Linked DNA regions of Caenorhabditis elegans. The protein of the gene in region 1 interacts with the protein of each later gene in a pairwise test. Each region holds a gene or a part of one and is shown in the gene's direction. Other genes may lie near its edges. The genes, in order: clec-110 and bckd-1A.

Region 1 (3,485 bases):
TAAATTTTAAGATGAAACCTTACAATGATAAAATTATAATTACAGAAAAGGAACGACGAACAAAAATACTTGGTTATTCCCATGCTAACGACAATAACGGATTCAGGCCTTGGTAATTTATTTAGATATATGCAAACCAGTTTAAATCTTTCCTTAACTGCTGTAAGGCCATACTAAAAGTACCCAAAAGTTTTGAAAATAAAGTCGGAATAATTAAAAGCTCCAACAGTCATGATAACGTATATTTTTTGTAATATAGAAATATACAAAAATTTCAGGAAACCAACTATTCGAAGTAGTTTCCTTACTTGGAATGGCAGAGGTGTTAAACAGAACTGCGATATTCAACAAAGACGACACAATGCTCAACGAAAAGCTCAGTTTCTTCCGAGAAACAGTTCCACGTGTAGCCGAGAAGGTGGCCTCGATGCCTATTGAGGTATGCCTTACGGGCCTTAAAAAATGCACCTTAAAAACCTAATGTGTAATAATTGAGGTTGACACCAGGTCTGGTACCAAAAAATAAATTTGAACCAAAAAACAAAGAACCGGTGAAAAAGTGAAAATTTTAGGTTCTTTTTGTTCCAAAAAACCAAAAAAAAATCAATTGTTTTTCAAAATAACAAAATAGGTCCCAGCTTTGGTTGGCACGGCATACTTACCTGCTATAGACTCTATGTGAAGATATAAGACAATCAAACATCCTTCACTGTTTTAGATCTCAAAGTCCGCTCGATTCGTCGCACCAGTCGCCTGCTGTTACTACCAATACACGGGCCTGCTCACTTGCGATCAGAGCAAGTTCCTGGTCATTGATGGGATGCATTTCCAGGTGAGAACTACGACCGCTAGGTAAACTATGATATTAGCTAGATATGTTCAGAGTTACAAATATTTTGCACCCATCGAATCTACCATCAGGCAGTTGTTGAAGCCAACCCCGGAAGAACTAGCCAGAATTTCAATGAAGAATCAGGAGGAAGGTCGTCATGGGTACCACCTAATTTATATTCAACAAAACTTAAAATCTTTAATGTTTAGTACCTGCGTGCACGTTCGTCGTGGAGACTTTGTCGCAGACTCGCAGCACACTGGGACAGACGAAACATTTACTATCAAGGCAATCGAGTATTTGTTCACTAAATGTTAGTAAAAATTTTACCGGAACAGTCTGGCTGCAGTTATAAAACTCCCATTTTTAGACAGTGGAACTATTTACATGATCAGCAACGATCCAGACTGGGTGGGAGAGCATATTGTGAACCATGTCGCTTTTCGAAATGATATGAAAGTGCTAAGAACTCCCAACAATCGAGCCATTGATGATCTCTATTTTTCGCAGGTTTACTGTGATTCTGTTCTGATAACTGGTAGGTGTAAAGGTATTGAGAGAATGAGAAATCAAATTATTTTCAGCCCCCTCTTCCACGTTTGGCTGGTGGATCGGATATCTGTCAAAAAATCAATCAGCAGTGTATTATCGAGATATTCGAGAAACCACTGATGAGGTATTTATTGGGCGTATTCCTAAAATATAAAGTTTTTTTGTTCAGGTGAAGTACCAAATGGTCGAAGAGGATTTCTTTCCAGAAACTTGGACAAAACTGCGGATTTCTGATATGCTTTAAGCTAACATATTAGTGATAGTTGTTTGTTGGTTTTACACCTTATATTAATAAAATAGTTTTTTTAAAAATTCATTGCTACTTAAAAACTGATCAGGAACACTCTGAATGTTTTATGTCGTATGCAGATGTATAATACTACTACAAAAAATGTACAGTGTACGGTAATACCACGTTTCTCTCTGTCCCGATCACCTTTTTCCAAGCGATAAAAACCAGCATCAGTATAAAATACAAAGTTTTATGAGACAACCAGCAGAGTTCCGTATCAAAGATGCATCTTGCGACGCCAGTCGTGTTTCTTTTGCTTTTTGCAACTATAACCATCGCTATCGAATTTGATGGTGGTAAAGGAGGTGGAAGAAGACGGCTTGATTTCTCTGATTCTTCTTTATCTTCATCTTCCGAAGAACATAGACATAGACCCCCGCATCGGCCGAGGCCTCCAAGACCCTCAAGACCAACAACTCCGAGAGGTGAATGTGACGATGGATGGTTGAGATTCGAGAGGGATCACGAAATCTGGTGTATTTTTATAAGTGATTCTGGATTTAACAAGAATTCAATTCCTTGTTAGATTGCCTATCCGAGGATCACAAATGCTATGCTTACTCAACCGACTGCTGAAACCCTCTGCCAAACAATGGGTGCCACGTTGACAGGATATCAAAATGATAATGAGCGAGTGACCACTGCAAATGAAGCACTGAAAAAACTCGTAGCTGCCGGACAATCTACCATTGCCGGTAAGCCTATATCTCAGTTTTGCAATTTCAGTATAATTATGTTCATCTATGTGGCTTGGAGCGACAAATGTACCAGCATGCAGATACCAAAGCTGTGGACCTTATAACACATTTACATGGACCGATGGTCACACGAATGGAACTGCAGGCTTCAGCAAATGGGGAGTTGGACAACCCGATAATCGTAACTATGGGTCGGATCTAATATTATTTTAAAGACCATCAATTACTATTTTCAGAGGACCTACAATCTGTCTTCAACAATTCATCATGACCCCTAACTGGGTCGGACTTCGAGGAGACCTCGAGGAATGGAGAGCTGCTTTCACCAATGGAGATCTTGATAGATATGGATGCCTAGACGCTCCAGGACTGCCCCAGACAAAAATGTACGCTTGTGGAAAAGTCGGGGTCAGTCGAAGATCACGTGGATAAATTGTGACATATGAAATATTAATGAAGTGTTTTCTTACGAGTGTGTTTTTTCTTTCCTGGAGTAACTTGCCCGGCCCAACTGTTCGGCACATTGATTTTCATTTCCAGTGAACTCATTGTATTGCGATCAAGCAAGACACTGCCCGATTCCGTTTTCCGCGTACCTCTTTTTAGATCTGCTATCTACGCGGAAAATTCGATAGTGCGTGCGTTTCTTGAAATTCTTCGGACCATATTTATTATCGATTTTCAATTTAAAAATGATTGGAAGGTTAGTTTTTATTTGGAAAATATTTAGTTGTGCATGAATCGTATGTAAGCTTGTAACGTTTTGATAAATTTTGATTTTTGTCTTCTTTTAGACCACTTCTTTTTTTTTTGCAAAAATAACTTTAACAAATTCAGGACCACTTCGAAAAAACTTCCGTTGCTCCTGACTTTTGCGATTTTGACGCTGTGGATTGTTTTCGAGTTTACAGAATTCGAGTTTCTGTACACAAAGTCGCAGTTTCAAGTGGAAGATTTTAATGTGAGTTGGCATACATTTCTGTAGAGAATCTTTCGTTATTAGTTCTACTCGTTCCATTTTTTCTTAAGTACCAGACGAAGACACTTTCTTTAGTTCATACACCGTTTGAAAACAAGATGCAAGTGGAAGATAACCTACTAAGGTGACGGA
Region 2 (6,512 bases), on another chromosome or scaffold:
AGACAGCCAGCGAGCACGTGCTTACACTGAACAAGAACAGCGGAACCAGCAGCACACTAAAATACAGCAACCCAATGATTTGAAACCCAACTGACATAAAAGCGAGAAGAATTGACACAAAGTAAATAAAATGAATGAAATCCGAAACAGTCACATTTTAAAATATATTTTTTCATCATTCCAGAAATTCTTCAAAGAAAAAAAGTTGAGAAAACAGTGGATGAGGATCATGAAGATGAAGTATGCGGTCTGAAAAATGGAAAGTCTGAAATTCAGAAAAAAACCACAAAAAAAAAATAAAAAATTGCGATTTTTGTTTGAATTCCCTCCAAAATTAGAGCTGCCATCTGATTGGTTCAAAAATGGGCGGAGCGAATCGCTGATTGGTCTATCACGCCAAAATTGAAAAATCACGGGGATTTTTCACGCTTTTCTTTTGTGGTATTTCTGATTTTGAGTTTACTTTGCATTTTTTGAAGCAAAAATCATCAAAAATTTATTAGATACTGTGGAAATATGTTTTACTTGTTGCTTGAATGAATTTTTAGCCAAATTCGGTGCATTCAATAAGATAGCCCAACATTGGAGCTCAGAACAAAGAAACTTCCTGTCTTAAAATGAATGAATCTATTGTTACGCAAAAGAGTATTTTAATTGTTTTCCAAAACTGAAAACTGTTGCTTTTTTTGTTTTTAAAGTTTATCTTCAGTTCTGAGTCTTAGCAGAAAATAATTGATTTTTCAAAATTTCGGCGAAACTTCGAAAGAAAGTGGAAAAAATACCAGAATTAAATAAAGTCGTTTTATTTTCGTTTTTCGAACATTTTCGAAAACGAAAACGAAAAAATTCGTTTTCGTCAAAACCCCGAAAACAACGAAAAAACGAAAACGCGAAAACGAAAAAGTCCCAGCCCTGGTCCCAACCAACCGGAATCCACGAACAACAGACATCAATTCCATAGAAAAATGTTTCGAATCGTCCCCGTCTTCCTGTAATTACAGGTTCACCATCAGTGCAGTCTCCACGTCGTGATCATCTTCTTCGCTCATAATTAATAAAGGTATAGGATGTAACTGCCACTCACGCACACTGATCGATCTTATAAGGGTTTATTAAGTAAAAGGGAACAGACGAATTGCATCGTCGAAACAGAGTAAACGAGAGAAAAGGGAAAACGACAAGTAACGGGTTAAAGAGTTAATAAATGATCACAAATGAGCGTCGTCCTCTCCTTATATAGGCATTCCGGGTTAAAGGCGCAGCCTTTAACGACGACGGGTCTCGGCGCGACAAGGCGACCTTCTGTAGCTTGGCGGCGGTTTGAACTGGAGTTTCTCCTCCTCGCGGATTGCCTTCGCTGTAGAAATCGTTGTCCTCGACCGATTTCGTCCGTTCTTTCTGTAAATTATCAGAGAGAATTTAAAGGCAAATAAATTAGTATTTATTTATGTAAAATGTGAAGTGAAAAGGGTGGGAATCCTTACAAATTGCAATATTTTTGTTTTATAATCTGCAGAATTTCAATGAAAAAATCACATTTTCAGTCGAAATTCAAAAGTTCTTACCGATAATAAATTGCTGTTTTCGTTCGAAATGAATAGAAATCGAGAAATGATTAATTTTTTCTCTAATCTAAAGAAAATCAATAATTTAAATTTTTTTAAATTCAGTTTCCCGTGTCGCCCTGTTTTCTGGAAAAAGATTAGAAAATCCAATTTCTTGTTCTGTCTTTCGCCGAAGAAACACGCGTTTTCCCTGGGGAAATCATCAAATGGTTCGTTTTTTTAAAAAGATTTTTGAGCAAAAAGGTCTCACCGCGACAAGTTCTTGTGAAATAAAAACGGGTATGCGCCTTTAAGGAGTACTGTGGATTTTTAGAGTTTTTTCGATGAAATAACGATTTATTTTTTATCAATTTCATTGTAAAGTCAATGAATTTATTAGAAAGCTTTCGAAAGAAAAAACCTAGGCCTCTAAACTTCTGCTAGGTTACTGTAGATTTTTCAAGAGAATAAGAGAACCGGCTCAGATTTTTGTTGCAAACTCTGCCGATTGTTAGTTGTTTGATTTTTATCGATTTTCCGCCAAATATCTCTCAGCTCTTATCACTGAAAGTGATTGAAACACATGAAAAGTGACACAAAGTGTCGTCAATACACCACATTTGACGACATTTTGCGGACTTTTTTCTGTGGCTGGTGATTTTTCCACAGGTTTTTTGCATTTTTTTGCATTTTTTTTGTGGCAAATTCAATAGACTATTTGCCACGTTTTATTGTATCTTTTTTGTTGAAAAAATTCAAAAAAATATTTTTAATTCAAAAATTTTAATTCCTTATTCCCTTCAGATGCACAGAGCACTTCTCAACGCCTCGAGACGGGTGGCAACCGTCAGAAGCATGGCTTCTACCGTTGAAGGAGACGCTTTCCGGCTCAGCGAGTACAGCTCAAAGTATTTGGGCCATAGAAAAGTAATTTATTCTTAATTTATTATTTTTCTATTTTTTCCCCATTTAAAATACTAAACTTCACTTTTTTCAGGCCGCTTTCACTGAAAAACTAGAAATCGTGAACGCCGACGACACGCCAGCACTGCCAATCTACAGAGTCACCAACGCCGTCGGTGACGTCATCGACAAGTCGCAGGACCCAAATTTCGACGAGCAAACTTCGCTGAAAATGTACAAAACGATGACACAGCTGAATATTATGGATCGGATCCTGTATGATTCGCAGCGTCAAGGACGCATCTCGTTTTATATGACAAGCTTCGGAGAAGAAGGAAATCATGTCGGAAGTGCCGCCGCTCTCGAGCCACAGGATCTGATTTATGGACAATATCGTGAAGCCGGGGTCCTGCTGTGGAGAGGATATACTATGGAGAATTTCATGAATCAGTGCTATGGAAATGCGGATGACTTGGGAAAAGGTCCGAGAAAAACCTTGATTTTGCTTTTAAAAAATCGATATTTCTGGAGAAAGTCAACCTATTTTTCCGTTTTTTTTTCAATTTTTCTTCACTTCGATTCCCGAATTTTGCAAAAAAAAACTGTGCCGCACAGAAAAAGAGGTGGGGCGTAATTTTGCAACGACGTGGCACGGTTTTTCCTCTTTTTTGTTGATTTTTCCTTTTTTCTCCGAAAATTTACAATATTTCTTGAAAATATTATTCAATTTACTACTCATAAGATTGTGCGAATTAGGTAACATTTTTACTTAAAAAAAGAAAATAAGAAAAATTGTGAATTTTTGGAAAAAATCATTGAAAAAGGAGGAAAAACCGTGCCGCAGGGTTGCAAAATTACGCTCCGCATCTTTTTCTGTGCGGCGGCGCTTTTTTTTGCAAAAAAAAAATCACGAATCGATTTATCTAAAAAATTTTGAAAAAAATCATCAAAAAAAGAGGAAAACCGTGCCGCAGGGTTGAAAAATTACGCTCCACCCCTTTTTCTGTGCCGCGCTATTTTTTTTCAAAAAAAAATCACGAATCGATTTCTCAAAAAAATTTTGAAAAAAACCATTGAAAAAGGAGGAAAAACCGTGCCGCAGGGTTGCAAAATTACGCCACGCCTCTTTTTTTGTGCGGCGGCGCTTTTTTTGCAAAAAAATCACGAATCGATTTATCCAAAAAATTTGAAAAAAAATCATCAAAAAGCCAGGAAAAATCGAGACCCGAAGAACTCGGGGGATGTCCAATTGGGGGGATTACCAACTCGGGGGATTGGCCCCGCCCACAGAACCGTGGCTTGCAATACACCCATTTCTGCAACTGCCGCACGGTTTTAAAACTGTATTTTTATTAATAGAGCGAGAAATAACAAGAAAAAATATTTTTAAAACCGTGCGGCAGTTGCAGAAATGGGCGTATTGCAAGCCACGGTTCTGTGGGCGGGGCCAATCCCCCGAGTTGGTAATCCCCCCAATTGGACATCCCCCGAGTTCTTCGGGTCTCGAAAAATCGTGCCGCAGGGTTGCAAAATTACGCCCCGCCTCTTTTTCTGTGCGGCGTCGTTTTTTTTTGTCTTTTTTACAAAAAAAATCACGAAAAAATTTAAAAAAAAAGGAAAAATCTGATGAAAAACTCGAAGAAAAATCGATTTTTAAGGAAAAATTGAGTGGAATTTTTTAAAAATCCGAAAAAAAAATTTGAAAATTTTTGAACAAAAGCTCCAGCAGCCGCTGGTCTTCGAATTCCAAGATTTTTTCAAAAACCAAAAATTCCATTTTCAGGCCGCCAAATGCCAATGCATTTCGGAACAAAAGAGCGAAACTTTGTCACAATCTCATCTCCACTGACCACTCAACTTCCACAAGCCGTCGGCTCAGCGTACGCTTTCAAGCAACAAAAGGATAATAATCGCATCGCAGTCGTCTATTTCGGAGATGGAGCCGCTTCTGAAGGAGATGCTCACGCAGCGTTCAACTTCGCCGCCACTCTCAAATGCCCGATTATTTTCTTCTGTAGAAACAACGGATACGCCATTTCTACGCCGACTAGTGAACAGTATGGAGGAGATGGAATTGCTGGAAAGGGACCGGCTTATGGTCTTCATACTATTAGGTAGAGAGAACTGGATTCGTTGAAAAGCAGTGCCACCGCACGGAAAAAGAGGCGGAGCGCAAGAATTTGCAGTTTTTGGCTTGATTTTGCTTGATTTTGAATCATTTTTTGACAAAAAAAATTGTAATTTCTGAAATTTTACAATTTTCTCTTGTTTTTCCCTTTTTTTCCTCCATTTTTTCGCGATTTTCTCGTGAAATTGGCAAAAATTCGAAAATATAAAAAAAATATACGAAAATTAAAGAAAAAACCCACAATTAATCGGTAAAAAATCACCAAAATAAGAATTTCAGCCTAAAAAAGTGCGCCGCAGGTTTGCGAAAACGAGGCTCCGCTCCTTTTTCTGTGCGATCACAGAATTCTGAAAATGCGTATTGCACAACATATGTTATCACGTCAAATATGTTGTGAAATACGCATTTTCAGAACTCTGTGGTCGCACAGAAAAAGAGGCGGAGCTTAGGTTTTGCAAACCTGCGGCGTGCCGTTTATTTTACGAGAAAATCGCGGGAAAAAGTGGAACAAAATTACGAAAAAGAAGAGAAAATTGTAGATTTTCAGAAAATTGACTAATTTTGCCAAAAATTGAAAAAAAAATCGAATCTTAAGGCGCGCCGCAGACTTGCAAAACTACGCCCCGCCCATTTTTCTGTGCGACGCAGCTTTTTTCTTTTGCAAGAAATAAATCACGGATCGATTGTTCAGTATCTGTTTGCATACCTAAATATATTTTTTAAAAATCATCAAAAATAAAGGAAAAACCGTGCCGCAGGGTTGCAAAATTACGCCCCGCCCATTTTTCTGTGCGGCACTTGCGAATATTCTATCTATATAATCTAATATTATCTTCTAAAAAGAGGAAAAATGAGCTATTTTTGAAATATAAAATTGGAAATTTAAAAAATAACAAAAAATTTCAAAATTTTTTCCAGAGTCGATGGAAACGACCTTCTCGCCGTCTACAACGCGACAAAAGAAGCCCGCCGAGTCGCCCTCACCAACCGCCCAGTGCTCATCGAGGCCATGACCTACCGCCTCGGCCATCATTCAACATCCGACGACTCGACCGCCTACCGATCTTCCGATGAAGTTCAAACATGGGGAGACAAGGATCATCCGATCACTCGCTTCAAGAAGTACATCACGGAACGTGGATGGTGGAATGAGGAGAAGGAGATGGAATGGCAGAAAGAGGTGAAGAAGCGTGTGCTCACCGAGTTCGCCGCAGCTGAGAAGCGGAAGAAGGCGCATTATCATGATTTGTTCGAGGATGTTTATGATGAGCTTCCACTCAGACTTCGCCGTCAGAGAGATGAGCTGGATGCTCATGTTGCGGAGTACAAGGAGCATTATCCGATGTTGGAGACTCTTCAATCGAAGCCTTAAATTCATTTTTTGTGATGCTTTTTTTTTCTATGAAAATATTACTAGAATACGTTTTTTTTTTGTAGATTTTCCTGTGCCATTCCGATGTGTTTTATCAAATAGATTTTGCTTTTATTTATGAACCCTCATGTTTTGTTTCTAGGTGCCTTTTCCCGTGTTCCCCGCATATTTCTTTTGTCAGCCCCTTCCCACCTTTCAATATGGAGAGGATACCCCACACTGTTTTATCGATTTTTGTGTCCTGAATAGGGCGTATAACAAATAAAATAGACCGAATGCTCGAAAAATTTTAATTTTTGCAATTTATTGCCACTGAACAACCAATTGTTCGTATCAATACGACAGCACAAATTTCTTCTTTTTTTTATCAATTTTCTTTATCTTTTTTTTGTATTTTTCTCTAATTCTCTCACGATTTCTCTATATCTTTTCTTTGCAATCTTCTCTTGTCGGTTTTGACCGAAAATTTTTAATGTTCTATGTTCTTTTTTTTTTCAAACGAAAATTTTAGGATTTTGGTCTCGACACGACAATTTTAGTTTTGTGCAAACAGGTGTGCGCCTTT

The links.
Region 2: the proteins of clec-110 (region 1) and bckd-1A interact in a two-hybrid assay, tested with the Caenorhabditis elegans proteins (one large-scale study listed by BioGRID).

What each region holds. Positions count from the first base shown.
Region 1 is NC_003279.8:13,202,598-13,206,082, forward strand, and holds clec-110 (C-type lectin domain-containing protein), read left to right. Parts: upstream 1-1,899; coding exon 1,900-2,150; intron 2,151-2,216; coding exon 2,217-2,371; intron 2,372-2,432; coding exon 2,433-2,565; intron 2,566-2,610; coding exon 2,611-2,806; downstream 2,807-3,485. Other genes in the region: F17B5.6 (L-Fucosyltransferase), read left to right, coding at 46-112, 279-439, 719-832, 884-993, 1,042-1,145, 1,203-1,370, 1,417-1,508, 1,554-1,628; ZK1225.1 (Core-2/I-branching beta-1,6-N-acetylglucosaminyltransferase family protein), read left to right, coding at 3,067-3,077, 3,212-3,335.
Region 2 is NC_003281.10:12,967,657-12,974,168, reverse strand, and holds bckd-1A (2-oxoisovalerate dehydrogenase subunit alpha), read left to right. Parts: upstream 1-1,771; coding exon 1,772-1,774; intron 1,775-2,348; coding exon 2,349-2,471; intron 2,472-2,541; coding exon 2,542-2,929; intron 2,930-4,230; coding exon 4,231-4,561; intron 4,562-5,493; coding exon 5,494-5,947; downstream 5,948-6,512. UniProt on the Caenorhabditis elegans protein: The branched-chain alpha-keto dehydrogenase complex catalyzes the overall conversion of alpha-keto acids to acyl-CoA and CO(2).